4 linked regions of the Lytechinus pictus genome follow. The protein of the gene in region 4 purifies or fractionates together with the protein of the main gene of each other region. This does not show direct contact. Links are inferred from orthologs where the notes say so. Each region holds a gene or a part of one and is shown on either strand. Other genes may lie near its edges.

Region 1 (7,670 bases), on a different chromosome or scaffold from region 4:
TTATTCAACAATTTCTGACATTTTACTATCATCCCCATTCACCAACGGAAGTACGTAAGTGCGAGCTCTCATGTGTAATCATTTCTCCCAATTCGGGCCTATATTGTTTTGTCTATATTTTTATTTTCTTGAGGTCTAAATGATATTACATTATCTTGAACGATTGCGCACTATTTTCGTTAGACTCTAATCTTTCTTTCGATACTACGAAATATGAAATAAAAGATAGAAAATATATGTTGCTGATGATTTATTCCTTATTTTTACAAATTTTTTGCCGGAGAGGGAAAACGTTCGTTGAGATAGTCTTTTATCAAAGCTATCCGATTAGACTTTTCGATATGGGAGCGACAAATTCCGAGAAGCGTTATGCAGCGGCATAAATCATGATATATGGCGACTGGTAAAGACGTCTGTAAGGATGATGACGTCATTCAAGATGGCAATTTACGATGACCAACGAAAGGATCGAGGATGACTATGTTTTTATCAATTGAAGGGAATTAGCGGTAACTGCGGTCTGAAGTATTACATTTCTTAATGTTATATATTTCTTTGTCAAGTTGGATGTAAAATTTCTTCTTTGTAAATGGGATATTTTATGTACAAAAACGATCTGAAAATCGGTTTTTTGCCGAATGTTACTTGTTAGATCTAACGTTACTGCTAAAGTAAAAGTTACAGCTTTACGTACAGGCCTCCATTGACTTCAGTCTATGTATTGGTGAGAAGCCACGCAGTTCAGCAGAACAACCAAATACAGAGACTGAAGCTTTTTGGTCTACTTGGCCTTGGACTTTATAAGACTTGGCTACCAAAATTAAAAAAATTATTCATTTCATCAAATTCATGATCAACTTAGAGTTAGATCTATCATCTAGCTATTCCACCACATTTTACACACTTCTGATCGTCTCCAACAGGCCGTTCCCGATACTCCCCTTCTAGCATACCGACGCCCACCGAATCTCAGGGACCTCATTGTTCGTGCTGAAGTGCCCTCCCTCACTAACCATTCTTCTCCCATACAGCATGGCACCTTCAAATGCACCAGCAACAGGTGCATCATATGTGAAATACACCTTCACGAGGGCGATACTTTCACCAGCAACTCTACCAGCCTGTCTCACCAAATCAAGGGCAACATCACATGCACTACCACTAATGTTGTATATCTCATCACTTGCAGAGTTTGTAGGGTACAATACATAGGGGAAACCAAGACCACACTCAAGAAACGATTCTATGGGCACAGATCCACCGTCAACACAGCAAAGCTGGACACTCCAGTTGGCCGCCATTTTAACCTCCCCAACCACTCCATCACTGACATGATGCTACAGGGCATCGAATCTTTAGGTACCCGTCCTGACTCAGTCCGTACTAGCAGGGAGAAGCTCTGGATGAAACGACTTCGCACCACCCAACCTCATGGCCTGAACATCCAAGAGGGGAACGACTGATTTTTCTTTCCTATCCACTTTCAATTTATATATACATATAATTTTTCCCCTCAGCTCTTTTGAATAGTTACATTATAGTTTCTTACTCTACTTTCCTCCCATATCTCATACAAGCTCAGCTCCAATTTTTCCTTCCTTATTCAGGCGATATAATAATAATTATTATATATATATATATATATATTTGTTTTTTCTCCACTCACCTCTTTTAGATTTACCACATTTGCTTATTTACATGTATACTATGGTTTCTTCATAATACACCCCCTCTCTTCTATATTTGCTTTTACCTTTTTAGGCAATTTGCTTCCTCTTTTTCACATATACAGGTTTTTTTGTTTGTTTTTTTTCCTACTATATAGTCTTATGTTTTTTTCCCGTCACACCTAGCGGATTACAATATCAGTTACACCATATGTGTATTTATATATTTTTTCATATACATTTCTTTTTTGGATATATTTATATACATATCACTTATAGATACATATTTACACTTACCTTCTTCTCTTAGTTTGTTTAATGCTTTATCATATATACTTATATGTCTTTTGCACATTATCAGTTGTTCCCCATTCTTTTTCTTTTTTTTCCCCCACTCTTATGCACCAGTTTATTAAGCCTTTCTTTGTAACCTGTTTGACCCACCTCTCACTAATTCTCTTGTTTTTCATCCCATTATCACTGTTTTGTTCCAGATCCTGTTTGATGTTGCCTGCCTCATTATTTTAATCCCTCCTGGCTTGAGGTCTTTTACTGGCCTTACTTACACTAACTTCCCTTTGTGTCTGCCTACTCCTTTTCTTTCATCCCCTTCACTAACCCGATTGGTCTTCTCTACTCACTAATGCCCCGGCCTTTTGTCTCCTTGTTTCTAGTGTTGCTGTAGCTTGTTTGTGGTCTATATTATGGTTGTTCCACTTTATATGTTTGTCATTTTGCCTCCGACGAAGATTCTGCTAGGATCGAAAGCTTAGGCCCCTTTTTTACTTTCTAATCTAGCTATTCTATTTCTAGCTCTCTTTTTTTTCATTCCGAGTCCGACATTGCCATGAATAATTGCAGAGTGCTTGAAATCTGTAGACTGTAATTGGCTTCCCTGTAATTTCTTCAATTATATCATTATCAAATGTTTAACAACGGGTGTTTCCTTACTTTAAGTTTACTATTAGTAGGCCTATTAGTTTTGCGGCGCGGCGAACTGCAACTGCACTGAAAATTCACCACGACTCCGATGGTTACCCACGCCGGCAGTCACGGCCAATGATTAATGAAGATGAGCGGTTCCGTGACGTTAGAATAGTCAATAGAAAGGGATTCTTGATCTCTACTTACCGGTTGATGCAGTTTATCAGTCCGTTTCTTATACAAAAAGGTGCTTTGCGATTCATCTGGTCCTTGAATGCGCTTGGTGTCAGTCGGCATTTTTAACAGTTATGTCTCAAATTTATATTAAATTTGGAAAAAGTGCTTAGCTTCGTCAACCTCGTTTAAAATTTCAGGATCGTGGGTGCAGTGATATGGTAAAGTTAGCTGAGCAAAATAATAGGGAAAACACCAAAAGCATTTCGCTCATAATATGAGCGATGTGCGGAGGATTCAAAAACAAAGTAAATGTATTAAATATGCCCGTCAAATGACAGAGAACATGGGAGGTCTTTATCGAAAATTTGTGACCCGGAACAACACTTTGGTCCTAAGTTTTAGGCCTGGCGAAAAATTGCAACTGTATTGCCGTTTGTCCAGAATCAAGGGCACTGTATGCATGCATGCTTATTTAATTCATCAAAACTGAAGCATCTTCTTCTTCTTCCTCTCCCTCCTCTTCTTCTTCCGCTTTTTATATTCTTTCTCCCCATCTTCATTCAAAAATGAAAAAAATGCCATTTTGATTGTAAGTGCATTGCAGTCATCTAAAAGTCCTTAAAAGCTTTGAGAGTTATTAATATGCTAATGAACAGTTTGGAGAGAAAAATTGAATATGTGAAAATATATATCATTTGTAAGAAAATCTAGATTCTACTGACATTATATTCTTAGAGGATTATTTCACCCGAAGCAACACTCACTTTAGACTTTTCTAATTTTCGAGCCTCATTGGCTAAAAAAAGCGGATGAATAGAATATCTCATTTTTATGTGCTCGTGATGCATTCCATGATATCCAGGTATTGAGATATTCACTTTTGAAATCGGTTATTGGAATATTTAGATTTAGAGATAGTTTTATTCACTTTCCGTTCAATATCATAATTTATGATACATAAAATAGAAGAAATCATGAACTGAATTGAGGTGAACTAAAATGATTTTGGCTGATAAGTAAATGAAATAGAACGGAGGACACACCAAGAAATGCCATGCTGGTATGAGAGGCAAGCCCTGTAACTTATGGTTTCAGTTATTTTGCAAAACGAGTATACATATACAGCAACATTGGGGGGGGGGGACGGAAACTTTACAGAATGTAAACGTTTTAACGAATGAGTGACAGTAACTTTAGACAAAGTGATTATGATACAATATTAATAATTATAAATAATAAATAGTATAAATGAAATTATAAGTGAGAGAAAGAGATTGAGAGACGAAAGCGATTTTCGAGACCTTCTTGTTATTTTGTGAGTGTCTGATGTAAATAAGTAGGCCTAAAACAAACTTCTCCATTAAAAAAAATCTTTGGATAGTAGAGGTCATTTGTGACATTGTCTAACTCTGAACAGAATAGATGAATGCCATTGAGTATCGTCTAGGTTGTTCTCAGCATAGGAAAATCATGGGGATTTTATTTTTGCTTACTTACTGCGCTCGCCCGTCAATTCTATGTTCATCTAAGTTAATTTCAACCAGCGATTATTTTTGTTTCAGCAATATTATTTATATAATACTTTCAATGTCTGTACATAAAGTGTAAACTATGTCGTTATCCCTTAATTGTATAGATGTAGGATTTCAAAATGCACAATTAAAAACATATGCTATTCGACAGAAATAGTGGTCTAGAAATATGGAATTTTTTTACTTATCGTATAGGCTTACTTCATTTAATTCATTTTCATTAGGCCTATCATTGTTTGAAATTTATTTCACATAGGTGGAGCAATGTGGCCCAGTGGATTAGTCTCCGGACTTTGAAACAGAGGGTCGTGACCGTGGGTTCAAATCCCAGCCATGGCGTAGTTTCCTTCAGCAAGAAATTTATCCACATTGTGCTGCACTCAACCCAGGTGAGGTGAATAGGTACCTGGCAGGAATTTATTCCTCGAAATGCCCTGATCGCTGGAAGGCTGCATGAACTACAGCCGGGGTAATAATATTCAAGTCATTTGGACGGGCATACAGTCTTTATTCATAATGTGATATGCGCTATATACAAGAACTGTCTATTATTATTTTAAATCCGACAACAATAATGCATATTTATTAAATTACAAATAAATGAGAAGTATAGAGGAAATATATAGTTGTAACTTAATTTCAATGGGAGGAATATGATGGGACCTATCATTCGTGAGCTTATCATGTACACTAAGAAAAAAAGAAGCACTTTCTTTTGATGGGTGCATTCTTGCACCTAAAGTGAAAAAAAAAGTTCCAAACGTGTATTATGTTCTTCTAGCTTTCTCCTGGAAATGACAGTTTGCTCCCTTTTGCGCTTGTTCCATCACAGATCCAGTTATCACGTCGGTCGGGCAATTCGAGAAAAGGTGAGGGCCACCTAAATTCCCGAATAGTCGGGTCCAGTTCACCCGACCACTTTAGAATTTTACTATAATTTTCACAAAATATCGGGTAAACTGGACCTGACCTTTTTGGGAAATAAGGATGCACTTTTCTCGAATGGTCGGGTAATTGGACTCTAACTTTTCGGAAATTTAGGGGCCTAGCTTTTCTCAAATCGTCCGGCTTCGTGAAAACCCGACCCGACGCGACAATACGATGTGATGACACAAGCCAGATTTTTGTTGAAGGTACATGTACTGCGTATGGTATACAACATAGGCAGCACGACCCCCTGGAAATCAGATTCGTATACGTTACAATGTGAACATTGAAATCACTAATTTTGCAGCGAATCACCCCCCCCCCCTTTTTTTTTTTTTTTGCTTGTTTTTTTCCAAACCCCTATTAAAAATCGTCCCAAGGGTCCTGGATGTACGACACGATTAGCACTAGTGATCATGACATTCAAATATGTTGTTCTTGACCAGTTTGGCTCAGCTTCGTTGATCCTTCTTTGATTTTCATGCTTTTACACGAGCTAATTTGCTTTAATGGTTTCATTGTCCTTTACCGCACAAGACTTCCTTTACTTAGGACTTCAGTAGGTAGTAGATAAATATTTTTGTTGTTATTAATTATCTTATTTAGACGATGGATAACACAATCTATAGCATAATCTCTATCAGTGGCGTACCGTGGGTCACGGCATTGGGGGGTACCAGCAAAAAAATTGAGTCACTTAGAGAGCGCGCAAAGCGCGCTCGGTTACCAGTTGACATAATAGAGACATTTTAAGGACAGTGCCATTAAACGGATATGTATCTCACTGATCACATAATGCGAAGCGCGAGCTGAAATTTTTTGAAAGTCAGACCTAAAAAGGGACATTATAAGCAAATTTTTGTAATCATAATAAGTACCTGTCTCGCTAAACAAACAATGCGAGCGCGAAGCGCGAGCTGAAATTTTTGTATATATTGAACCCCAAACAGGGACATTTTAAGGACTATATTCTAGGAATCTATTAAGAGTATACATATTTCACCATAGCCATCTAATGCGAGTGCCAAGCGCTTGCTGATTTTGTTAGAATAATATACATCTAAACACATGAAGCACTTGTAGTCATTGTAATCATGATTAACATACCCATCTCACTAATCAAATATTGCGAGCACGAAGCGCGAGCTGAAAATTTAGGAAATTCAGACCTAAAGAGGGACATTTTAAGGCTTCTTTGTAGGAATTCACGAAGATCATACGTTTTTCACAAACCAAATGATGCGAGCGCGAAGCGCGAGCTGAAATTTTTGTATATATTGACCCCCAAACTGGGATATATTAAGGACTATGTTTTTAAGGAATCCATTAAGAGTACACATATCTCACCATAGTCATCTAATGCGAGTGCCAAGCGCATGCTGATTTTGTTAGAATTACATCTAAACACATGACGCATTTTTTGTAGTAATTGTAATCATAATTATCATACGCATCTCACTAATCAAATATTGCGAGCGCGTAGCGCGAGCTGAAAATTTAGACCTGAAGAGGGGGCATTATAAGGCCTGCTTGTAGGAATTCACGAAGACCATGCGTATTTCACTAACCAAATGATGCGAGCGTGAAGCGCAAGCTGAAAATTTTTGACATTCAGATCAGAAAAAGGGACATTTTAAGGACGTTCCACAGTTAAAGTGAAATCCATGTCATTTTCACCAAACTTTGCACATAGATATTTTAGAACCTTAATATTCGAAATATGCAAAAATTAACATAGGTCCATGTGCTTGATTTTTTGCTATAGAGCTTCAAAGTTCACCCAAATTGATGTTATTAAGAATTGCGCATTCAAAAGAATTTGGCATTTTTAGACCGCCCAAGATTACTATAATGAGTTTAAACCTATATTACTCAGTCAAAATACATGAAAAAGTCATCAAATTTCGCAAGAGAGTTAATAATTGTATCGTTAGAATGGAGAATCTATTTATAATGCTATTTGTTTGCAATTTTAAGTTTAACAGCACTGTCAGTTCTTAAAAATGGCGTAAAAGATAACAAAATCCCAATCTAAAAAATGTAAAATTTAAGTAACAAACTACAAACGTACAATAAATGCTGCACTTTATTCAAAATCCATGTCATTTTCACAAAAATTTGCAGAGTTGTAGAGGAAGGTATACCTAAGAGGTACAAACATTAAAAAATAGGGGTTCATGTGCTTCTTTTTAAACTATCAGCATTTTTATTAGAGCAAATGTGCTTTTTAAAACACCAAAAATGCGCCGAATGCTTAGTATCTATGTGAAGAAAAAATCAAAACCACTCTACCATTTATTCAAACTGGGGTAATATTCGTGATTCTTGGCAGCACTGCAGAGTAAATTATTTTGAAATTGTAGAGAATATTTTTTTGAATGGTCCATGGAATAATTCCATTTTTAGCTTCATGAAATAACGCATTAGTCCAGGATAGTAGGGG
Region 2 (7,733 bases), on a different chromosome or scaffold from region 4:
TTTCATTTTTCGAACTCTATTTTTAATTTAGAAGAAATAATTAAAAGAATCAAATTTACTTAAGAGCCAGGTTATGATGATTAGCTGTAATAGAATCCGAGTGACAGTGACAGGATGCAGCGTAGCTCAGTCGGTTAGAGCGCATGTTTCGGAATTTAAGATCGTAGATCTCAACGAGTCCCGTTTATGCCGAAACATGTCTAACAAAAATCTGATGCTATGCGTTGTTAGCGTGCCTCACCACTGTATGCAGTGCCGGTGTGAATGCAGTAGAAAAACACTCCGTCCATCGAAAAGGACGCAAATGTTGGTCCCGCGTACATATAGCCTAGAGGCTTTTGGAGAGTAAAAGTAGTGCTACTGACGTAGGCTTACTCTCCATGAAGCCTGGGTCAGCATACCATTGCTCTACACGCACCGACGAATTGGGCAACAAATTGGCCAAAAGTTGCCAACCAATATTGTAGCCCATGTACACAAGTATAGGCTAAAAAATAAAAATAACAAGTATTTTGGCCAATTCGTCGGTGCATGTAGAGCAATGGTATGCCGACCCAGGCTTCATGGAGAGTAAGCCTACGTCAGTAGTAATAAAACTAATACTAGTACTTTTACTCTCCAGAAGCCTCCATCCAGGCTATGTCATGTACTGTACATATAGGACTCTAGACCAAAAGCTTCGGTCTCTGTTATGTTGGTTGTTCAGCTGGGGCCTGTTGCATGAAAGGGTCTTTCGTAGAACCATTCTACGTAAGAACGAGATATCGCTCAACTGTTTCACAAAGCCGATTTGGGCGATACGAAGAATGGTCCTTGGAAAGACACCTCCAGACATGTCCTTCGTAGGCATGATCTTCTTTGCACACCGCCCGCCACCGTCGGCATTGAGAGAAAATGCGTTTACGGCAAGCCATGCACACTGACATATCACCTTTAAACATTTTTTGGGGTTGCACACTGATGCATTTTATCTGGGATGGCGCCAAGTTATTTTTTATATGGGGGCTAGCTAGTTGTCATCAATTTCAGGTCGTCTTTTTGCACGGCAAGACGACCAAAAACAGATGTCATTTTAACTTCTCCGGGCATTATGTCCGGGGGTAATGTAGGCCCAAATATTTTTTTAAAATATGTTTGCTTTTATTCTCCGTCCTATCCCCACACCATTTCCATTACCGTAATTTTTTTTTGAAATATCGAAATGGGCGGCACTATCTCTTTGACCCCTCATGCTTTCTCATTATAGATAATTAAACAACATGAAAACAAATTTCTTTAAAAGAAATTGTGTAAAGTAAAAAACGTGTTTATAACGTTCAGCAAAAAAAAAGGATACAAAACTAAAATGTTAAACATGGTAAATCATTCATTTATTTTTATTTCATTTTCATTATAATTATTTTTTTTTGCTGAGATTGATATTAATCAATGAAAATTAATTGTCGGATTTTTAATTGGGCTAACTTGAGATGTGAAACAGTGAAACAAAACAAAAAAACTGCAGTAGCAAAATAGCTAATTGAATTTAAGATACAGATTAGGAGTATAGCTATATTACGAATCCATCACAATTATTACAAATGAAGATAAGCTAGCTAGTTCATTAAAGAAAAAAATCTGGAAAGTCCATACGAAGAGGCGCATTTTAAATCGTAGGGTACATATAGGCCCCTTTCGGCCCCTAAGTAATGTTAAAGCTTCTCTACTCCTCAACTTTGAAATGTTAAATATATATTTTTTATATTCTTAAAACTTATATTCTTATATAAGCTTCCATAAATTAAGTAATCAACTTTAAAGATGACCAACGTTTATGATCATTGTAATATTTAGCATTATTTCTGTAAATAGTATTTTTTCCATTGCGGATTGCACACCTTTTTCTATGTTTTAATTGTTATTGCAAAGCACTACTTTATCCACTTAGACATGTTTGCAGCAATTTTCATATTTTCCTTGTCTTCGGTTACTCATCATGCAATTGAGGTATGTTTGTACTCTAAACACTCACATTTGTATTTCTTGCGTTTTATCTGACAAATAAAATAAATAAATTAGATTTTTCACAGGCAGCCTCTCATATTTTCCTTTTTAGTCTCATACAATCAGACACTGTTGATTTTGTTTACTCCATTCAAACCCAATTTTTAACCTCAACAATTAACGCATAATTTGCAAAATTATCATTGTATATATGTATTCTATAAAAAATCAGTATATTGAACTAATAAAATGTCGAAATTACTTAGTTAAATCAATTTTTATGTCGGACAAGGGTCTCTTTCGTTGAAATATCAATGAAAGGTGTCTCTAAAAGGACACCGTGTTCTAAATAAGGGAAATAATGAAAATTTCGATTTTATCCAGTTATGTTTGTGAATCTTGAAAGTTTTTTCTCTTTTTACCTCATAAAGTACGCTCCATACATCAATTCTACAATCAGTAATAAATAAAACATTATTTGATCCCCTTTTATTGAAATATATGATTTTATGAAAAGTCGTCATTCCGAAATAAAAGGTTCAGGTGACGATGAAGACTAAATATTTTTCCGATACTATCGATATCAAACGATGTCGCGGACTTGAAAGACAAAATTGCCTTCGTGAAACGGAAAGCGCTGATTTGTCGCCAATCTTCCTATCTCGGAAGAATGGTCCTAGGACGTTCCTACGTATCGCTCATCTCGTCATGCAACAGGCCACTGAACTCCGTTTAACGGAAAGACAAGACAAGACAGTGTCAAACAATCAAGCATTTGTTCCAAAGAAAAAGAGAAAATAAGCCAAACATTGCCAACCTTATTTTGCAACACATGCCATGGAGTACTAACAGAGAACAAGGTTATATTTGCATTATCCTGGTTTAGGTCACCACTCCATTCACTGCCGTTCATTTCGTCAGCAGCGGTGATCTCATTTCCCATTGACTTTGTACACAACGAGCGCACACACACACCGACACTCACGAGAAGAGGTGACTTATTTCAGGATAAGGCCGTTATATCATGACCTTGTTCATTGAATAAGTGGACTAAGCCTAGGGCTAGGCTACTATATAGTATTAATGCAAATGCAGTAGGCCTAGATCGAACAATAATAATTAATATTCCTGCAATTATTCACTGCGTTTAAAAATTCAACCCTACACAGAAAATATGGTATGGGACTACGCCCAGCATTTCTTTACTATCATCTTCACAATAAAACCCATTTTACAGTAAAGCATTGTATCCCACAAAAATAATACGCTCAAAATATTATTACCTTCATCTGAGATAGGTTCTTAGAAAGTCTAATATTTTTGCTTTGCCCTCTCGTTCCGGCCATTTTGACAAGGAAAGCAACACTGTTTTACCTCTAAAACCACGCATACAGGCATTCGTTTTCATGAAGCAAACTAGAATTGGAAAATACGACACTGGAGAAGAAAAAAAAATAAAAATAAAAATGCACTTAGTTAGCAGGGACGTCCATGCCCAGGGGTGATGAGAGTCGTATAATATTTTGATTATCAAATAAAAAAAAATAACACAAATTTAAAAATGATAATAAATGATAAAATTAATAACAATAATAATAATAATTATCAGTGGCCGCGGAAGCGGGGGGGGGGGGGGGGGGGCTGGGGGGGATTGCTTCAATCCGGCCCCCACTTTTTTTCCAAAACCGTGTACAAAAACGTAAAATGACCATATGATAGTGATTTTTTGCATGGTCAGCCCCCTCACTTTTGGCTCAGCCCCCCCCCCCCCACTTTGAAAACCGTTCCGCGGCCCCTGATGATAATAATAATAATAATAAGTAATAATAATAATAATTAAAATTAAAAAAAGCTAAACATGCATTTTCGTTTGTTCATTGAACTTCTAATAAAGGGATACTCCGGGCTGAAAACATTTATATATTAAATAATTAGAGTAAAATTTACAAAGCAAAATGCTGAAAATTTCATCAAAATCGGATTATGAATAACAAAGTTATTGAATTTTAAAATTTAGCAATATGCACGCATCATGAATATTCATTAGATGGACTAATGATGTCACATCCCCACTTTGCCTTTTCTTACGTTATAACATGAAATCATAATTGTTTAATTTTTTTCATACATGAAATGTGTGAATAATGTGTCTCCTTTATAATGAAATAAGTTGCAGCAATGAATATATCAATATCATGCACTAAATCAGTTATCAATCCAATTTTTTCAGTTCTTGGTAGAAAAAAATTGAATAAACCTGATTTCATCTAATAAAATACAAAAAAACAAGTAGGGATATGACATCATTAATTTGCTCATTGAAAATCCATGACGAAATGCCTAGAAATCTGTTTAAATCATATTATTTTCAGCCCGGAGAATCCCTATATCAATTTTCATCATTTTCATGACTTTTTGTTTCCAAATTGAAAGACAAATAATACCAAATACCAATATCAAATAAAAAAAAAATTATATGTGTCGTTATTAAAAGAAAACGGGGGAAGGGGTGTCTCTAAAGTTAAATTAAGCAGGGTCACTGTCATCGAGTTGAATAGGCGCCTTATTGTTTTGCTAATGACCACACATTCAAATATGTCGCTCGATATTGTTTTGCTTTGTTTTCTTTTTTTACTTCCTTATTTTATTTAATTTATTTAATTTAATTAACTCATTTACTTACTTATTTATCAATTTTATTTATTTTTATTTATTATTATTATTATTTTTTTTTTTTTTTTTTTGGGGGGGGGGATACAGCGATCATGCACGCATTCACAATTACATGCACACACATACCATCTTCCCCCATGATTCACCTCTTTACCACAACAGGTAAATTTTAAAATGTACAACTTTTTTGCAATGATTTTAATTGTCGGGCATTCTGTAACCCCAAAATGTTAACAAGATAATCGACATCAATAAGTGAATGCGGCCTGCCATCAGCCGGAATTTACATGTTTTACGGCGAGCTATTAGCGAACTATCTATTTTGCAGAGTCGAACCCATTCTACGAAATCCAAACTTCCTTTTTTCGGGTCGGGAGAGGGGACTTGCCCTAATGGATGATGACTGGCCCCCTCGTACCCCTGGATTTATAATGACATGATATTACTTGAAAATGCACTCTTTTCTGATAAAATCAACGATATAAATTCTCTATTATCATGATTTTACTGTTATACACTATGCAACATGATCTTGATGGTACCTTACTAAACATATTTTCTTTTCATATTGAGGGAAGTGTAAACTCATCAATTGATCAATAACATTATACTGCATGAAAATGTACCATATTCTAACAAAAGTAGCGAAATAATTTATGTATGTACGTACCACAGTAATTAGACCATGTAGAGTCGATTATAAAAAAAAAATTACACCTGTACTACACCCATCAAATATCATAAATTGCCTCAGCTATAACATATTCAAAATTCCGCAAAAATTAACGCATAATTATAACTGAATATTCAAGTTAGACCCATAATCTATTAAACATTCTTTAAAAAAATAAGATAATGCAGTTGTTAAGGAAAACATATTCCAAATTTTCATAAACGTTTACCATACTCATAAACATAACGGAATATAATTTTCAAATTCTATCGATTGAAAGGCCATAAATTCATGACATGTGTAATGTTCATAACAATGATAAATCCTGATAAATAAAGATTTTAAAACTACTAAGGAATGAATTTGAGTATAATACGAATAAATTGGATTATACAGTATATAAAATGAAATGTACGCAAACGCACGTTTATTCTAAAAATAAACATGCAAATTCGATAAAGTTGAATGTAGTTGTACATCATCCTCCATCATGCATGTAAGAAGTCCAACGCCATCAAAATTTATATGAATTTCGGCCACGCTTATACTTTAACTCAGCTTGACAACATTTCTCTGGGTAAATGACATTATATACTTGATTAAAAATGACAAAACTTTTAAATGACACATTCGCATTATCATATATAAAAAAGCTCCTGTTGAAAACGTGAATTCAAAGAGGTGAACTGATAAATACTAAACTCGAAAGTCAAAAACGGGCCTAAGCTTTCGATCCTAGCAGAATCTTCGTCGGAGGCAAAATGACCAAATACTAAACTCCTCAAAAAAAGTTTGGAAATCTGACTTTGATCGATAATCCCTCCTCGGATTTAATAAATAACAATGTTTAATTAATATCAACGAATGGGACATTTAATTTTCTTTAAAATGATACCCTACATGATATGATTATGGTTCACATGGAGGTGCAGTGCCTTGAAATGTGGGGCAAGTTCAAAATTTAAAAGTTGCAAAATGACACAATATTGAACTTTACTGTTCTTTTATCCGTGGTGATGAGTGAGTTTCTCAGCGGTTTCTTTTGACTTTGATCGGTATTAGTAAATATCAATGTGTAATTAATATTAATGAATAGATCATTTAATTTTCTTTAAAATGATACCCTACATGATATGATTATGGTTCACATGGAGTTGCAATGCATTGAAATGTGGGGCAAGGTAAGAATTCAAAAGTTGCAAAATGACACAATATTGAAAGTCACTGTTCTTTTTTTCAGTGGTGATGAGTGAGTTTCTCAGCGGTTTCTTTTAACATGTTTAATTGTTTTCATGCACCTTAACATCAACATTAACATGGAATCAAACACACCTCTGCACAAGCAAACACATAACAAACAAACATGCATGGGTATTTCAAACCACGACTCAAACCATGTTATCTCACAGAACCATCACTACAGAAGCAGGGGCTTGATTTGAAAGGATTTTCATCTCTATTGACGCAGACAAAAGAATAATGTTCTGTATCATGTGTATTGACCGATCATAACAAGCATGGAATCATTTTAAAGAGAATTAAATGATCTTTTGAATGATGTAAAATATGCATTGTAAAATTGGGAGTTGGGAGAAATTAATGGCCAAACACAGATTTCCAAACTTTTTTTGCTCGTTTTGCAGCTTTTCAATTCAGACCTCATCCAACACTTTTGAATTCTGTTCTTTTCGTGATGGCATGATCATAACAAGCATGGTATCATTTTAAAAAGAATTAAATGATCTTTTGAATGATGTTAAATATGCATTGTGTTAAATTGGGAGTTGGGAGAAATTGATGGCCAAACACAGATTTCCAAACTTTTTTTGAGGGGTTTATATTTTGTGTACTGATGATGAAATTACTATATGTTACAACCACATGTCGTCTTCCTATTTATCTCAACTACTTCCTAGAATGAAAAATGGGCATGCACTAGCGATTTTGATTGATTATTTAGTGATTGATTGCAAACATTTGCATTACAGAGCCTCGATCTACTTGTGATAGGCTATCAGAAGTAAAATGACACGTAACAGATTGAGAATAGTTTAATATTGCCCCCCCCTCCCGTTCATGAAAATATCCATCGGGTAATCATCTGAAATTTGACTAACATTTATGGTGAGTGTTTAATGAAATAGTGTATTGATAACGTATGAGAAAAGAAAATGGGCAATGAATGAATGAATGATAGGCAATACCCTTTTCAAACTTCATATCACATGATTTTTGACAAATTAAATGTTCACAGTTTGATTCTAATCATTCCTAATTCTTTTAGAATATAGATCAAATGACAATAATATTTTGAAACCGAAATTGGTATACATGCATGTTTCCGATTTTTTTCATCATGATACAAACACACAAGCATATATATTCATATAATAATTGGAATAAG
Region 3 (8,200 bases), on a different chromosome or scaffold from region 4:
GGTATGAGCCGTGGTTAATGAGAAGCGATTATTACGATCTTCTCAAATATTGTCCATAACAAACGCACCCACCTTCATGACACTAATTTCGACTTTATTCTCGGTTCAAAGCAGCGAAATTCCCTTTCAAAGAGACGCCAAGCATACTCAGTAATATTTTGCCACAGCTGAGCGAGCGCGAGAGTTGAGTGAGCTGCGCTGAGCTAGCTTTTGTTGTATTGTGGTCAGAGCTGCGCTGAGCTAGCTTGCGTTGTATTGTGGTCAGTTATAGTGCGACTTAAGCTGGCGCTATTCATTTTAACCCTCGATCCCCTCCAAAGTCCCGTTTCGCGCCAGCTTATTTTTTCTTTCCCATTTGCTTTTCATAAGATACCATGTACACCACGCACGAGAGAGAAGACACTAAGCCTTAAAACAACTGTAAAAAATGCCAATTTCTTTGTTTCTTGAACCTTCCTGTAATCCCGTATCCAAAATTCATGCTAAGACATTGAATGCTAGACAAATTCTGAAAGTGATTGTGAGTTTGTGATGCAAGAAATGTGATTGTTTCTGCCTCCTACGCCGGGAAAGACACAGATCATTATTTGATAAGATGTACTGGTACCGTATCGTAGTTTGCAATGTACAAGAACGGCAGTGCTGTGTGTGTGTACACTGTGACTGTGAGGTGAGTGAGTGTGTAGGTGGCCAATATTGTCGGGACCTTCCTTTCTTGCTAACATTTGTAGATGAATTGATCAAGAACAGCAGATTTCCGCATACAGGTAATCTCTTTGGATACTTTGAAATCTTTAACTTAGTTTTTGTTTCTTCGTACTTCAAATACAATGTGAGGATTTTTTTTTTTTAGTCCGAAGTTGGGGGTGCGGTTAATCCACGGGTGCGGTTTATAGTCCGTTACTTACGGTAATCATTTATTAACTTCTTTGTGAAATTATAACCTTTTTTACATTGAAAGGATGCACAACATAAATTAGTAATAATATTATTGTGAAAAATGAGATTTTTTTAAAGTCAATGGCAACAATCAGTGGCAACAATAGTCAAATATGACTAATCAATAATAACCTTGTCCTCTGTTAGGACTCCCATGTGTGGGAAAAATAGGGTTGGCAATGTTTGGCTTACTTTCTCTTGTTCTTGGTATAAATGTATCTGGGACAAGCTGAGTTCCCAATAAGAAAACTTAGGCCTGATGAGTGATGCTGAGCTGAATTTTGTGCCAGGACACTTCACTTCAATGCAAAGTTCCAGGACATGTGCAGAGCAAGCACAGCAACAGGTTTTTTTTTTGGGGGGGGGGGGGATAAAACCTGGCCAGGTCTGGCATGTTAATGAAAGTGTGTGCTGGGCATAATTTGACCTGGCAACATCTACAAAAGTCTGATGTCAATAATATTACAATAGTCTCGACTTGCACAAACAAGTTTAAAAAAAATAAAACACTTTGAATTGGTGCACACAATTGGCATTAATGCAATTTCGTATTGGCCGACTACGAGAGAATTTTCCAACCAGCAATTGTTCGCAAATGTCATTAGGAACTTAGTTAGGAAGTCTCTCAATCACATTTTTCTACATAGTACAGGCACAAGGCAGATCATAATTCATATGCCCATCGCTTTTCCGAATATCGCGATCAGCAGGAACGGCTGTATTTTGGTTGGATGTCGAGGTGATTGTCGAATTTTCAGTCAGACATCACTTGCTTTTGGTCGCTAACTTCAGTCCTTAGGCATAGCATAGCCATAGGCATATCAAAATTTATAGTTTTACACGGTATGGCGCTTCCATTTCCAAGCAAAGCAATGTCTGAGTCTGACCGAATCTGACTGAGGCTGAGCTGAGAATGAGACGAGAATTCAACAACAATGAAGCAGGCTTAGGTCCACCCATGGGTTCATATCATCTCGCGTGCGAAGGAATATCAGTCATATGCACGCGACACACACGACAAGTCAAAAAGATAGTGGGCTTTTGCCCACATAAAATATCACCAATAATCTGGTATTTCACATTCTGCTATGACACTTACCGAATCATTTAGATCCTTCCGTGACTTCTCCTTGAAGTTTTTTCTTAAAAATATGTATATTTTCTTGATCTTTAGTGAAGATTTCACGGAGATAAAATTTGGTCAGCGTAGATATCAATTTTCGCCTAAAGAGGGCGCGCGATTTATATTCATATCAAAGACACGACAAGGGAAAGATTAGGAACCTACACTATTTTATACGCAAATCGACGCAAGGCATTACGCGAATTCCGTGAAGTGTCCAATCTTTTCATTGTATAGACTTTGGTATACCATGACGTTCGTTAATACTGCTTGTACTGCTGGTTTCGTTCCAGGCATGTGTATTAAAAAAAATAAAAATTATATTAGTCATCGCTTTAAATTAATTGCAACAAAAGTGTTATCATCGCCAATAGTAATCCTGAATTATGTTTTTGAAGGTATTTTATTTATTGGTGCCCATAATTAGTAAATTAATCATAAGAATTGCGCATTCAAAGAATTTAGACACAGTTATAAAATTACCGAGGAGCTGAATCAAGGTTGTGAAATTTATTAGCGCCACCAACGGGCTTCCTTGTATTTCCGTAGAAGAGACAAACGAAGTCACTTGCTAGGCCGAGGTAAGCGAAATTTGCTCTTTTTAAATGAAATGAGTTCAATATCATATGTATAATTTTGTTATGTATTGCTACTTACCGGAAAGAGCCCCGGTGCGTAGCGAGAAGGAGTTTCGGCAAATATTACTTCAGCAATGAAGCAATGTTTGCCGACTACTTCAAAATCTACGGTCAAACAAGGTCCGGTGTACGAGGTTCGTATATATATACGAACCTCGTATTACTATTAAGTATTAGTGTGAGTGGCTTAGGACAGTAACTTAGGTCGAGATCCAACCAAAATACAGGGATTCCCTATCTCGATATTCTGAAAAGCGGTGGGCTTACTATGACTTGCTATGACATTTGTGAACAATTACTGGTGAGGGAATTCTCTCGAAGTCCGCTGGTGCGAAACTGCATTCGCGCCCAATAAATAGGCTAAATAAAACATAAAAATGAATAGGTGGGACTGGCATTTGAAACCAGCTGTAGAATATAACAGACGTTACATCCAAAATCATATAAACTGCACTAAATAATTAGTATTCTTACATGTCAAATTGGTTATTCATCTCTAGGTCCCCTTGTTGAGGTCTAAATGCAGATAATTCACGGTTGAAATCTCGTAATCTTCTGAATTCCAAGTCATACAGAATGATCCACGCACGTTCACGATATCGATATCGATAAGTATACTATCGGTTTTTTTGCCGGCGCGGCGGCCGGCGCGGCGCGGCCGCGCCGCCGGTCGGGGGCGCCGGGCAGGAGGGGGCCCAGCCAGCCGGGCCGGTGGGGGCTATAATTTTTAGGGTTTTTTTTATTATTATTGTTTACCGGAAGTGTTCACTGTTCAGAGAGGGTGGTTCGTCTAATTTGGGTACATTCATATCCAATTTATGTATAAATTTATACCAAAAATCAATGTGGACGCGACGGATCTAGACCTCTAGATCTACTAGGCCTAATAATAATAATAATAATAACAATGAAAGCAAGAGAGAGCTTTCCTTTAAAATGAACTGGCCCAGCTAGATTAGACTTCGAGATCATTCGATGCAATTAGATCGATAAATATACCCTTTTTTATTGATGAAATATACATGTATTTTTTAAAAATCAATCCCAATCCCATGTGATTTCTCAAGATGAACATTTTTAAGTAATTAAGTTTAAAAAAAAATCGTGTCTGATGTTATAAGCTTAAAAGGTAAGAGCAAATATCCCCGATCCCTCGTGGTGATCTATATCCGAAAAAAAGGTTATAATGACAAGAAAAAAAAATACAGATATTGAGTATGTTTCATTATATTTATGTGTCGTTATATGATTCATTGTCAAACAAAAAGAAATCAGGAAGAAAAATTCGCCTATAATCTGTTCTCAGCAACTGAATGCCACCAATACCAACAACATACCGAAAATGTGTAGGGCCTATACAAAATTATTATATCGTATAGACCATAATATGCAGCAACAACAAAAACATAAAAATGGTAAATAGAATTTAATTCTTTTCAGTGGTTTATTTCATTTCTATATCCATTTTTCAACACACAAATCAGAAATAGACCTTCATAAATACATAGGCCTATCAATTACATAAATAAATAAAAATCAATCATAAAAAAATGAGCTGACACTTGCTAATTGGCAATAACACTGCAAAAAATACAATAAATAAATATCAAAGATAGATAAAACATTTTCAAAAGTACATGTATGAATGTATGCTTAAAAACAAAGAAAAGAAATGTAAAAGAGACCAAGAAACGTGGCTTGTATAAATGCAAGAATAAAAAAAAGCAAAATCACCAAAAATATTAACATTGAAAAAAAATGTATTAATGAATCATACATAGGGCCAACGAGAGAGAGAAAAAACAACTGACAACAGGCGATTAAAAGCATGTTCATGCTAAATTAGCAATGGGGAAAAATAATCCTCACCACCTCACCACCGCTGATTAGGGAAAGTTCACCCTGACAAAAGTTGTAAAAATAGCAGAAATAATATAAAAAAAACATTGGTGAAGGTTTGAGGAAAAACCCTAAAAGAACTTTTTTTTAATTTACTAGAATTTCAATTTTTGGATTTGTGACGTCATACGCGAGCAGCTTCCACATATCGTATGGTAAAAAAGCAAACAAACAATGGAAATTCATTTTCTCATAAAATTGAAAATGGTTTTTATTGTACCTTCGATCAGTATAGGCCTATACCAATCAAAAAAAATATGTCACACCCACTCCTGAAAGAAATCAAACAATTAATGAGTCATCATGAACCACTGCAAATTTAAAATTTATGCATTTTATAATGGGGCAGCTGCTCATATATGACCCAAAAAAATAAAAAAAACTCTAATTAAATATTATAACTTTCTTAACCTTTGATGGATTTTCCTCAAACCTTCACCAATATTTTTATAATTTTTAGGGTGAACTTCCCCTTTAAACAATTTTCATGTTAATAGTTCATATTTCTTACGTTATGAATTTTGATTGAATCTCCTAGCCGGTCACCATTGTGAACTTATTTTTGCGTAGTTTTATATGAGGGAAAATAAATTCGGCTTAAATAGTCAAATTTGACTGAAAATCCGTAAAAAATCACCTAAAAAAGAAAAAAGAGTATATTATAGACCGGCTTGACCAGTGATGTACGAAGGGCCTATACAAATGGGGGGGGGGGGAGCCTTTTGTCAGACCAAGAGAAAAAGAAAGGAAAAAGAGCTGGGTGAAAGATATTATTTTCTGAATATTATGTCAAAATCTATCACAAATTTGGATTTATGTGAAAAGGTGTCAAAAATTTTGCTCGCTCGCTTCACTCGCTCGCAAAAAAAAAAAATTTCCCAATATGCCATATCTGGCCTTCTCAAAATTTTGGGTTCACGTCGCCACTGCATGGCCGGGCTTGACCTTGTATCACGAAAGAGCGTAAAGTATTATTATTATATAGTTTTGATGATAAATAACATTTATTCCGCACCTTGGATATCGCCTTCTTAAAAAAAAATGTAATATATGATTTAATGCATGGGCATGACGGGTCTTGAAAAGGGATCGAGGGGGCTCGGCTAATCATGCAAAAAAAAATGATAATAATTAAAAGAAAAAAAAAACCCAAAACAGATGGTGAAAAAATGGAGGATGAAGCTTCATCTAGTATTCTTTTTTGGTCTTCTTCTTTTGTTTTTATTTTTCTTTGAACTTTATTGAAAGATTGCCTTTCCCCCCGTGGTGGGGGCAAATCAAGGGGCAAATATATGTATTACATACGGTACATTTTCACTCACAAGTTTTTGCCAAATCTATAAAGTAGTCGAGCACCATCTACGTTCACTTCTGTCACGACGAAAGCAAGATGGCGGCTTCCATGACGGCAAAATCAAGACTTCTTTCTCTTGTGGAAGAAGCAGAAGTGTTAACAAAGTGAGATAAATTTGATTATACTGTGTATTTTTGGTGATGTGATGAATACATTTGATGAACGATTTTGGTTCTCTCTTACCTAACTCTTGTAATGACAACTTGGGCTTGGCCTTGTTCAGATGTTGAACGACTCTCGCCTCGCCCTCGGCCCTCGGCCAGCCCAAGCCAGGCAGCCGCGATTGGAGGAGGGAGCCAGCGGCAGCGCTACTACTTTGCTGGGGATTGATATACCATGAAGATGAGAGGAAAGGAAAGAAAAACAGAGCATTAGATTCTACGAGTAAAAGAGAAAGTGCACGAAATGAAATAGAAATGAATAATAACAGAAAAAGAGGAAAAGGGGTGAGAACCCAAGAAGAATAAAACAAAAGGGGCAATAGAAAAAGTAAAGTCAAAATGAAATGGGGAAGTAAGACTAGGCCTAGAGCAAAGAGGAGAGACAGAAAGAAAAAGAAACAATGGAAAGGAGGGATAAACGGTGGGAAAGAGGGATATTTTGTTGGCATACATCTCACTTTATTGCATGCTCATAAGTCGTACTCAGTCATAGACAGCTGGCAGCCGTCTGTTTTGAGGAGTTTTTTAACATTTTTTTTTTTTAAGTTCTCCTCATACACAGACGGCTCGCTAGCGTGCAGCCACCATTAGGGGACTTGCAATGCAAAATCCCCCCGTCGGGGCTCTTCAATTTTTGTCTTTAATCAATAAACATTTTGAAAATTAATGCGACCAAAATGCAAATTGATATTCCCTCTTGGCATTAATTGCCAAGAAACGGTGAAAAATCGAGTTAAAAGGAACAAAAACAGTGACTTACCTCGGCTGTCGCGCAAATTCACTTCCCCGTTTTATCCGATCTTAAGTACATAAACATATGGCCATTGAGTCCCCTGTACAGATCGCGCTAGAACTTCGGTCTCTGTATTTGGTGAGTGAAGCCAACGGAGTTCAGCTGAACAACCAACATAACAGAGACCGAAGCTTTTGGTCTAACTCAGTCATAGACCACAACATTACACTTACAGAACATACTGTATTTTTTTTCTTTCTAATACTGTCAGAATTGCAAACTTATCTGTAAAGGAGCTCTTGAAAAATATTAATTTGTGTTTTTGTTTTTGTTTTTTACACAGAGACCTCGGTGAGGCGACATCAGCAGTTAGGCAAAGAGTTCCTCATCCTGATGAACCTCAAGTAAGTTCTTCTTAATGACTGTGTGACATTAAGCTAAGAATTGAAAAACAAAGCAAAATCTAACAAAACAAAAATAATGGATCAACAGAAAATTCTAATTATTGTTTTTTTGTTGTTGTTGTGTCAATATACTTTATAGTGTAAATATCATATTTTCAGTGTGTATTTTAACTTGGCCCCTTTTTATAAGCTATGCCTTTTCCTGGGTCACCAAACCATCATTTTATGGATGTATGTTTTGGTATTTGTATCGATATGCAAGGCTCGACATTAGCGGTGGCCCGGTGGCCCAGGGCCACCAAAAATTCACCTCGGGCAACCATTATTGATAAAATGTTAAGTTTTGGTGGCCCGAATCGGGCAACCAATAATTTTCAAAGTAGCGCAATTTTTCTCCCAATTTTGCACGCATTTATCAACTTTCTACAGCTCAAATTGCAAGCCAGTTCGTCATGCGCCCTTTTTGTTGATCTACACACAAATACACACACACAAAGTTTGCATATTAGGCCTACAGCTATAGCATACAGCAGCTATTATCCAGCCAACCGCGCCGGCCGGCTGGCGTGAGCTTTGCATGAAGCCACTGAATACAGCTGTGCTCTAGATCTAGCTCAGCCTACTCAGATTCGGGGAGCTGCGATAAAAAATGTTGCTGCTGAGAAATCTTCCACAGAACTTTGAAAATCTCAGTCAAAGTCACATTTTACACCAATGAAATGCAATTCTACAGTCTATATTACGAAAATCTGGTGTACCCTGATTATTTGCAAGTATTAAGAAGAGGAATTATGACCTCTCTTTTGACTCAAAAAGACCGATTTCCACATGAATTAATACACATAAAAACACATCACAGTCCCACATGTGCATTTGTATGTATGTTGATACTTGGTTTCTTTCGAAGCTGTGTATTTTCTAGCCAAAAACAAACAGACAGTTTCTTTCT
Region 4 (7,618 bases):
GGAATTAAGACAAAGTAATTTTACAGCTACAACTATGATTCATTTGCGAAAAAGGGTATTTCTTTTTTATTTTAAGACCGCTCGGGGGACATTCATAATGTAGTTTTTAGTCTAAAAATAAATTGTGTCAGGAACTCGTTGGCTGCAGTAAATAAATATTGTTTTTAAAAATGGATAACCATGAGAAACAAAATAATCATATCCATCTTTAGTCGAAGTGCCAGGAATGAGCTCTTTGGCAAGCTCTTTGGTGTAAAAACCGCTTGCGAACCAATTCTGCACATTGAAAAATAAACGCTGACTAAGCAAAAGAAAATTATAAACTGATTGAAATTGCCGTTGCATACGATGACATGTTCAAATAAAATTGGAATCATGCAGTATTTTGTTTGTTATACACAAAGAAAACTCAGACCATGACACCCGTCATGATTTTTGTATCCAATATGATTTTATAACATATATTTACATCAGGACAATTTATATAATATAGACACACATAATAGAAATTGTAATAGATATGCATGCGCTATGCTAAACAGTCAATGTGAGTATGCAATCTTGACCTAAATTTGCCTTTTGGTAATTCAGGAAAGAAATAATAATTCTAGAAAATGAAATCATTTATGTGTTAGGTATATTCCGAACATTTTCCAAAATCGTTAAACCATTAATTTCACAGATTAAGTGTCAAAATTAAGTATTAAAGTGCGAAGTGGTCATTACAAGGGGAAAAGGTACGTGGAAAATACCACCTTACACCAGTATGGGACTAGATATCCGTCCCCGCAGACACGGCGATCAGCCCGTGTGCGCACGCTAAAATTTATCATTCTGCGGCTCTCGTGCTAGGAATGAACTTGATTTTTCTCTCAATTACGAAACTCATCGTGGAAAAGGTTATCCAACATGCAATGATATACTCGTAAAATTTGTCGTCATGTATCATTTACACACAGATAATAGAATATAACCCTTCTTTTGGAGAACTATTAGTAAGTTGTTCGAATCTAACGATTTTCTTTTAAAAATATAACAACAATTTACCTGATTTCAAATGCCTGCCATTTCTTTAAAAAAACTAGAATCAATAAGCCACCACCGTTATCAGTTGTGAAAAATTCTAGGAAACGTACTAAGATGCTTTTGCAAATAATTAAAATTTAAGGGGATATGAAAATAAGGATTTTGCAATGCTATATCAAATTTCTGTTATATTTTCATCAATTTTGGGATTGCATCGAAATGACTGATAATTCAAAGTCTTACCTAGCCTGGAGGCGTCTGGGGAGTGAAAGACATATATGGTTGGAACTACCCCTTATCGACCACCTAATCTTCTCAGCATCGTATCTGCGAAAATATTCATCAATTTTACCCAGTTTTAGTCCCATTTGTGCAGAAAATTGAGCAGATCAGATTCCCATGTTTCGCTCGGCGACTCCGATTCAATCCGCGTATATATCGACGAACAACGAATACGACGATTTTACATTTGCTCATTTGCACCCGTCTTTTGAAACCGACCACCCGCGATACACTAAGTTTACGGCCGATTCTTGTCGCGGTGGCGAAATATTTTTACTCTTCCAAATCAGTTCTATAAAGTCAACATGCTAAATGATCGTCTCACTACTTCCACTGCGAGCTCCGGCACATGATTCGACGATTGACGACGGATATTTGTTCTAAAGCCGTTTCCTATCGGATTTCTTGGTTTTTCAGCGGGAATTGGGTCTGGTCAATACAATTTTGATTAATTCTACTAAATTTTTACTTTTTGTTGCTTCTTTTTTTCTCGTAAAATCGATTCTTACCGTTTCTATGGACACTGCGCCTACTCTCCCGCGCGTATCGTTTGTAATACGCAATAATTTTAACGCGCGCAAGGTGGTCGGTTTCAAAAGAGGTGGTCGATATGTGGTAGTCTCACCATACTGTACGTATGGTCCCTCCCCTAACGCCTGGGAGCCTAAGCTATATTCCCACACGCACGGGTACAAAACCTGAAACTTTCGCCCCCGAGATTTCTACTTTCCCTCTAAAAGATCTAGCCCTAAAACATGTACATGGAGTTAAACTCCATTCCCAACATTTCTGCGATATTGATTACATTTTTAAAGAAGAATTCATGAAAAAAAACGAGGAAAATGTTATGAAAAGATGAGAGAGCTTACGGCCGTGTTTACGTCGCCATCTTGATTTCTTTGTCTTCCGCTTGGCGACAGCACGCAATCAGCACGCGATTGCGTGCTGTCGCCAAGCGGAAGACAAAGAAATCAAGATGGCGACGTAAACACGGCCGTAAGCTCTCTCATCTTTTCATAACATTTTCCTCGTTTTTTTTCATGAATTCTTCTTTAAAAATGTAATCAATATCGCAGAAATGTTGGGAATGGAGTTTAACTCCATGTACATGTTTTAGGGCTAGATCTTTTAGAGGGAAAGTAGAAATCTCGGGGGCGAAAGTTTCAGGTTTTGTACCCGTGCGTGTGGGAATATAGCTTAGGCTCCCAGGCGTTAGGGGAGGGACCATACGTACAGTATATGTCTTTCACTCCCCAGACGCCTCCAGGCTAGTCTTACCCACACTTGCTTGTAAATTCGGTATATGTTGTTACACTGATAAGTGATAGTCAATGTAAATGATAAACATTCATAGCCTCACTAAAATTCAATAAATCCATTGTTTTTAGAATTTTAATGTCGCAGACATTTTGGAGAGTGAGCAAAGTGATGCTTACAAACGTCGCTAACAATATTGCTAGGCGAAAAGGCCTTTCAATGGCGCGCTCCACTGAGTTGAGGCCGTGAACATACGTGTGCGCTGGAGCTGGAGGATCTAGGATCGAGGACTAGCGTATAGCCAGTAGCCATAGGCAAAGCGGCGGCGACCCGAGGCTGAGCCTGAGCTACGCGCGCGGCTTGCATTGAGACCATTTATTTCATCATGGGAACCATATTTACAAAACTAATAATCCATATTTTTGACAGCTCGAATACTCACAAAATACAGCATCAGATCATGCAAGTGAAAGAGGTCATTAGGTCAGAAATTGCCTGAATTTTACTCGTTTTCGTTAGCTTAGTTGGTTTTCCCGTTTTACAATACATGGAGTCCGTAAGATTACAAATTTTAAAGAAAAAATGGGCTGACCGTACCGCTAAATTAATGGGAAGTTCACCCTGAAGAAAAGTTTGTTTAAAAAGTACCATAATAATAATAAAAACACAATCGTGAAGGTTAGAGAAAAATCCATCAAAGATTTAGATGGTTATTAGAATTTCATTTTTTTATTTATGACGTCATATATGAGCAGCTGCCCCACAAGTTATGTAATATAAAAAGCATGAATTTCATTTTTTTTTTGGGGGGGGGGGTCATCGGGAGTGGGTGATTTGTCTGTTGATATATTGAAAGTACAATAAAAACAATTCACAATTTTTTGAGGAAATGACATTTCATTGTTTTTTTTATTCATGATACATGGAAAGCTGCTCCCATATAATATCACAAATAAAAAATTGAACTGATAACTTTTTAATCTTTCATGAATTTTCCTCTAACCTTCACAATGTTTTTTTTTTCAGTTATTTTTACAATAAGCATTTGTCAGGGTCAACTTCTCCTTTAAGAGACAACATAGCTGGATTCAAAGCCACTGAACTATACAATTTTGGAGGGCGAAACTGACAGTCAGTGAAGGGAGTAGCTTGTGGGGTGAGTTCGGGAGACGAGCACTATATTTGGCGCCATGTCTCAATCTGAAAAAATGATATAGCCCAGGGAAGGATGCTACCATAAATTATAGTACACTTAGGCCTGCTTCGGCACAAATGGTCTGTTTTCTACAAAAAAATATCCCTAAACACGATCTTCAAAAAAATACTGAAATATGGATTGTCTAATTTGTCTTCCAAAATTCTATGTCCTGTATTGTATCTTTTTTAAATGGGCATATAAATAACGACTGTAGGATGAGTGAAAATTGTTCTCCATCTTAATGATTGCTCTCCAATCTTCTCGGCCTCTTCTTCTGGGCCCTTCTCCCTTGATCCCCTCCCCTTACTCGCATGACTCCACAAAATTAATTCATAAACAACTATTTATCCAAAACTTTTATGTTGAACTTCTCTTTTAACGAATGGACTATACATGTAGTCCTAAATGTCTGGGAAATCTTCAAGGCAGCACTGAGGTTGTCAAAGTCAAGCCCACTTATTCCCCTTTCAGTAATTCATCCACTATTGGTCCATTCTCCATGCATAAGGACTCCACAGTCAAATTGCACTAAGAATTTAACAGCAGACTAATTAAGATTCTATTATCATGAATCGGTCTATCCCCAAGTAATGGAACTGACACTGAGTAGAGACTTTTGCATTTACATCTATCAAGCCCATCTTGACATACAAGCTAGGCTGTTCAGTAATTTAACATTTTCACGACTTGGGACTAGCCAGATCAAGGCAATGACTTTGTCTGAAAGTTTTGTCCCAACAAGGCTGACATGTTATACATTTCCAATATATCCTGAAGTTTACATCTAAATCTTAATCAGAATTTCTTCTTGGTAAAGAGCAACATGTCATCTCAAGTAACATATCAGGGGGCCGTTTCATAAAGCTGTTCGTAAGTTAAGAGTGACTCTAAGAACGACTGGTGAACCTTTCTCACGCGCTAAATAATCACCAACGAACATTTAATGGTGAATATCATTTACAGGGAATAATTTTGCTTTACAAATATGAATAGCATTTTTGGTTTTAAGAGAAAAGCTCTCAACTAAGTAATGTACAGTCCTATGTAAAATTATGCTATACAAAAGATTTTATGCATAGCAGTCTTTCAAAAATGTGAAGCAATTTGCGATGCGATACCAGGAAAATTATTCCCTGATTTACCACAAAAAAGGATCACCAGTCGCTCTTAACTTACCAACAGCTTTACAAAAAGCCCCCTGGTCCCTTATACTTGGGTAGTAGAATCACAATCACAAAAATCCACAAAGAAGACAAAAATTCATAAATTTTCATTGAAAACTCAATTTTATAATCAAGTAGTAGATCAATAAATATACTTATTTAAGGCACAAACACATCTTCACTATAAATGTCATTGTGTCACATCATAAATTATATTTGATAATCATCTACACGACTTCAAATCACTTCACAAGAATGATCTTTCGCTTACATGGGAAAGTTCAATGGCAATTAATACATGTACTGTGTTTTCTTATTATTACCTACGTAAGCCTTTGTATATATTTTTCTACCAAAGCTATTGAAATGGGGTGAGGTGTTGTTTTGCTTTACAGGCAACAGAAAGTTCATTGTAATAAAGGCTTTAATAATACCCTTCATAATCTTTAGATGCAGTGCTTATCAATTTTTACCAAATCTACACAAATTAGTTACTTCCTGTTTCTCAACCCTCAATTAGATATATTTTTGCTCTCCCACTCATGACTTTTATATAAAAAAAAAATAATAATAAAACTATTTTTTTTTTTAAATAAAAAATTCTACTTCAATAATCTCCTCCATATAATCACATAAAAGATTATGCAAGAATGATATGGCATTTCTGTTGTGAATCTATCTATTGCACTTATCAATGAATAAACTGATCCCAGAAAAATATGAGTGAACACAGGCCATGACACTTGTTATTACTTGTCAATCTGTTCCTGTTATTTGAGTGTGATCCCATAAGAAAATTCACTAACATTAAAATAAATGTTAAGTAAAATGCAATCAATGTTTTGAAATTTGATTGATCTGCACCCTCTAAAACTGACTTCAACTTAGTAACAGTGATCACACAAGACAGTCCCGACATTAACCCTCTAGAATTCAAAAGTCAAAGGAAATAGAACAGATCAAACCAAAGCCAAACTTATCAAAAACACAGTTTGGTGCTGTGACTCTATTAAACTTGCCTGTTCATGAAAACATAATCTGTATTGTGTTACCCATCAAATGTATCCATTAAATTACAAAATGTTAACCACCATTACTTTTCTGTATCCTGACACACCAGACACTTATGATTATCCAAATTCTTCTCAAATTGAATACATTTTAAAAAATGGATGGAAAACTTTTCGAAAATTAAGCTTTGTGATGGTTTTCTACAGACTGCTTATCAAAGAGAGTACTGTAATTCAGTCTGTGGTCTTTGTTTTCCTTCAATTATACCTAATGTGATGGAAGCAAAGGCATTTCCCCCAAAGGACTCAGGCCTTGTAATATTGAAATATTTTTTGTAATAGTAGGATTTGAATTATTAAAATTACTCCAATGCCATTAAAGGTATGATCTTGCATGCTACTAATTGGCTTCATTGCCCCACTTATTATTAGCCCTAGATATTTTTGGTGACCTTTTGAACTTTTTCACATTTGCGTTATATAGAAATGTGTTCTGAAGAAAAGTGGCCTGGCCATAAACCATCAAAATTACAGGCCAGTGTTGTAACATGTTTCCTTTGAATTAGAATTGAATGAGAAAAAAATACACGTCATAGAAAAAGAAAAATACATATAAAACAGTTTTATTACATCATGATTTGCTGGCCCATGGACACTCTTTATTTTCCTTCCAGCATCCATCTCCTTCTTCATATATTTCCTGTATAAATAGATTAGAGGATGGGAAAACAGATACAAGGGAAATTAAAAGAGAAAAAAGGTGAAAGAGACAATACATGAGAGATAAAAGCACATGGTGGTGTATGAAAAAGAAAAAAAAGACAGAAACAGTATAAGTGGGAGGGGAAAAAAGAAAGAAAATGAAATACACTGATTATATATGTCACTTTCAGCTAAGGAATTTAACACTCAAATTTAATTTATCCTAAATTATATTCTACAGACTTTAAACAAATAATAAAGAATATAAGTGAAAATTTTTAAACAATCTAAAGTCTAAATTTACCTGCACAATTCAAAGTAAGACTTGGGTGTCTTGCAACCTGATGTAATATCATGAAGAGATGCATGCAGGCGTGGGATTGTAATACATCAATTCTAAGGCAATTCAGTCACCCCAAAACAAAAAAAATTGGTCACAAGGGAAGGTATAGCAAAATTAAAATACCTTATCTGTAGGAGAAATTCTTCTTCATACTGTCAAAATTTCAAGTTGTAAAATTGAATAGAAAAGAAAAGTTAAGAGCACAAGTTTTTTGCAGACATCTAAGAAGTTTCACTAAGATCATAGTGTGCTTGAGTGTACCCTGAACTTTTGTTGAAATGTTGTTTTCTCCTTCTTTTTTTAAAGCCCTCACTTAGTTTCTTCTGCATTCAATCAAGCACTCGTGAGGGTAATTGTTAATCAATTTTGACAATTTATGTATCATATCAAAGCTTAGCATGTGCTTTTTTCAAACTCGATAATTTGGGCGACTTTGTTGATGTGGGTGGCTGGTAACATACTTTGTATGGAGGGAAATGAGAGGCAGCTTGTGAGTCTACCTACTGGTTTTTATTCCCTTCACAGGGTGCTACATAACTTTTTAGAAGCACTTTCCCGGTTGGGCAAGTAAATTTTTAAATAGTTGAAATATACTTGCCCAAATATCTATTTCACTTGCACGAAAAAATCCTTGAAA

Evidence for each region.
Region 1: the proteins of DIS3-like exonuclease 1 (region 4) and exosome complex component MTR3-like purify together in Homo sapiens (affinity purification with mass spectrometry; 3 studies listed by BioGRID and IntAct, with this or other methods). This does not show direct contact. The link is inferred for Lytechinus pictus from reciprocal best matches to the Homo sapiens genes DIS3L and EXOSC6.
Region 2: the proteins of DIS3-like exonuclease 1 (region 4) and M-phase phosphoprotein 6-like purify together in Homo sapiens (affinity purification with mass spectrometry; 3 studies listed by BioGRID and IntAct, with this or other methods). This does not show direct contact. The link is inferred for Lytechinus pictus from reciprocal best matches to the Homo sapiens genes DIS3L and MPHOSPH6.
Region 3: the proteins of DIS3-like exonuclease 1 (region 4) and eukaryotic translation initiation factor 4E type 2-like purify together in Homo sapiens (affinity purification with mass spectrometry; 3 studies listed by BioGRID and IntAct, with this or other methods). This does not show direct contact. The link is inferred for Lytechinus pictus from reciprocal best matches to the Homo sapiens genes DIS3L and EIF4E2.

Annotation. Positions count from the first base shown.
Region 1 is NC_087245.1:11,455,086-11,462,755, forward strand, and holds the start of exosome complex component MTR3-like, read right to left. Parts: upstream 3,138-7,670; 5' UTR 2,889-3,137; coding exon 2,799-2,888; intron 1-2,798. UniProt on the Homo sapiens protein: Non-catalytic component of the RNA exosome complex which has 3'->5' exoribonuclease activity and participates in a multitude of cellular RNA processing and degradation events.
Region 2 is NC_087246.1:60,405,898-60,413,630, forward strand, and holds the start of M-phase phosphoprotein 6-like, read right to left. Parts: upstream 3,477-7,733; 5' UTR 3,330-3,476; coding exon 3,267-3,329; intron 1-3,266. UniProt on the Homo sapiens protein: RNA-binding protein that associates with the RNA exosome complex. Involved in the 3'-processing of the 7S pre-RNA to the mature 5.8S rRNA and play a role in recruiting the RNA exosome complex to pre-rRNA; this function may include C1D.
Region 3 is NC_087260.1:10,323,122-10,331,321, reverse strand, and holds the start of eukaryotic translation initiation factor 4E type 2-like, read right to left. Parts: upstream 3,297-8,200; 5' UTR 3,195-3,296; coding exon 3,175-3,194; intron 1-3,174. Other genes in the region: mediator of RNA polymerase II transcription subunit 4-like, read left to right, coding at 5,990-6,057, 7,191-7,251. UniProt on the Homo sapiens protein: Recognizes and binds the 7-methylguanosine-containing mRNA cap during an early step in the initiation. Acts as a repressor of translation initiation.
Region 4 is NC_087249.1:24,491,121-24,498,738, forward strand, and holds the start of DIS3-like exonuclease 1, read right to left. Parts: upstream 3,143-7,618; 5' UTR 3,008-3,142; intron 1-3,007. Other genes in the region: molybdopterin synthase catalytic subunit-like, read right to left, coding at 6,568-6,636. UniProt on the Homo sapiens protein: Catalytic component of the RNA exosome complex which has 3'->5' exoribonuclease activity and participates in a multitude of cellular RNA processing and degradation events.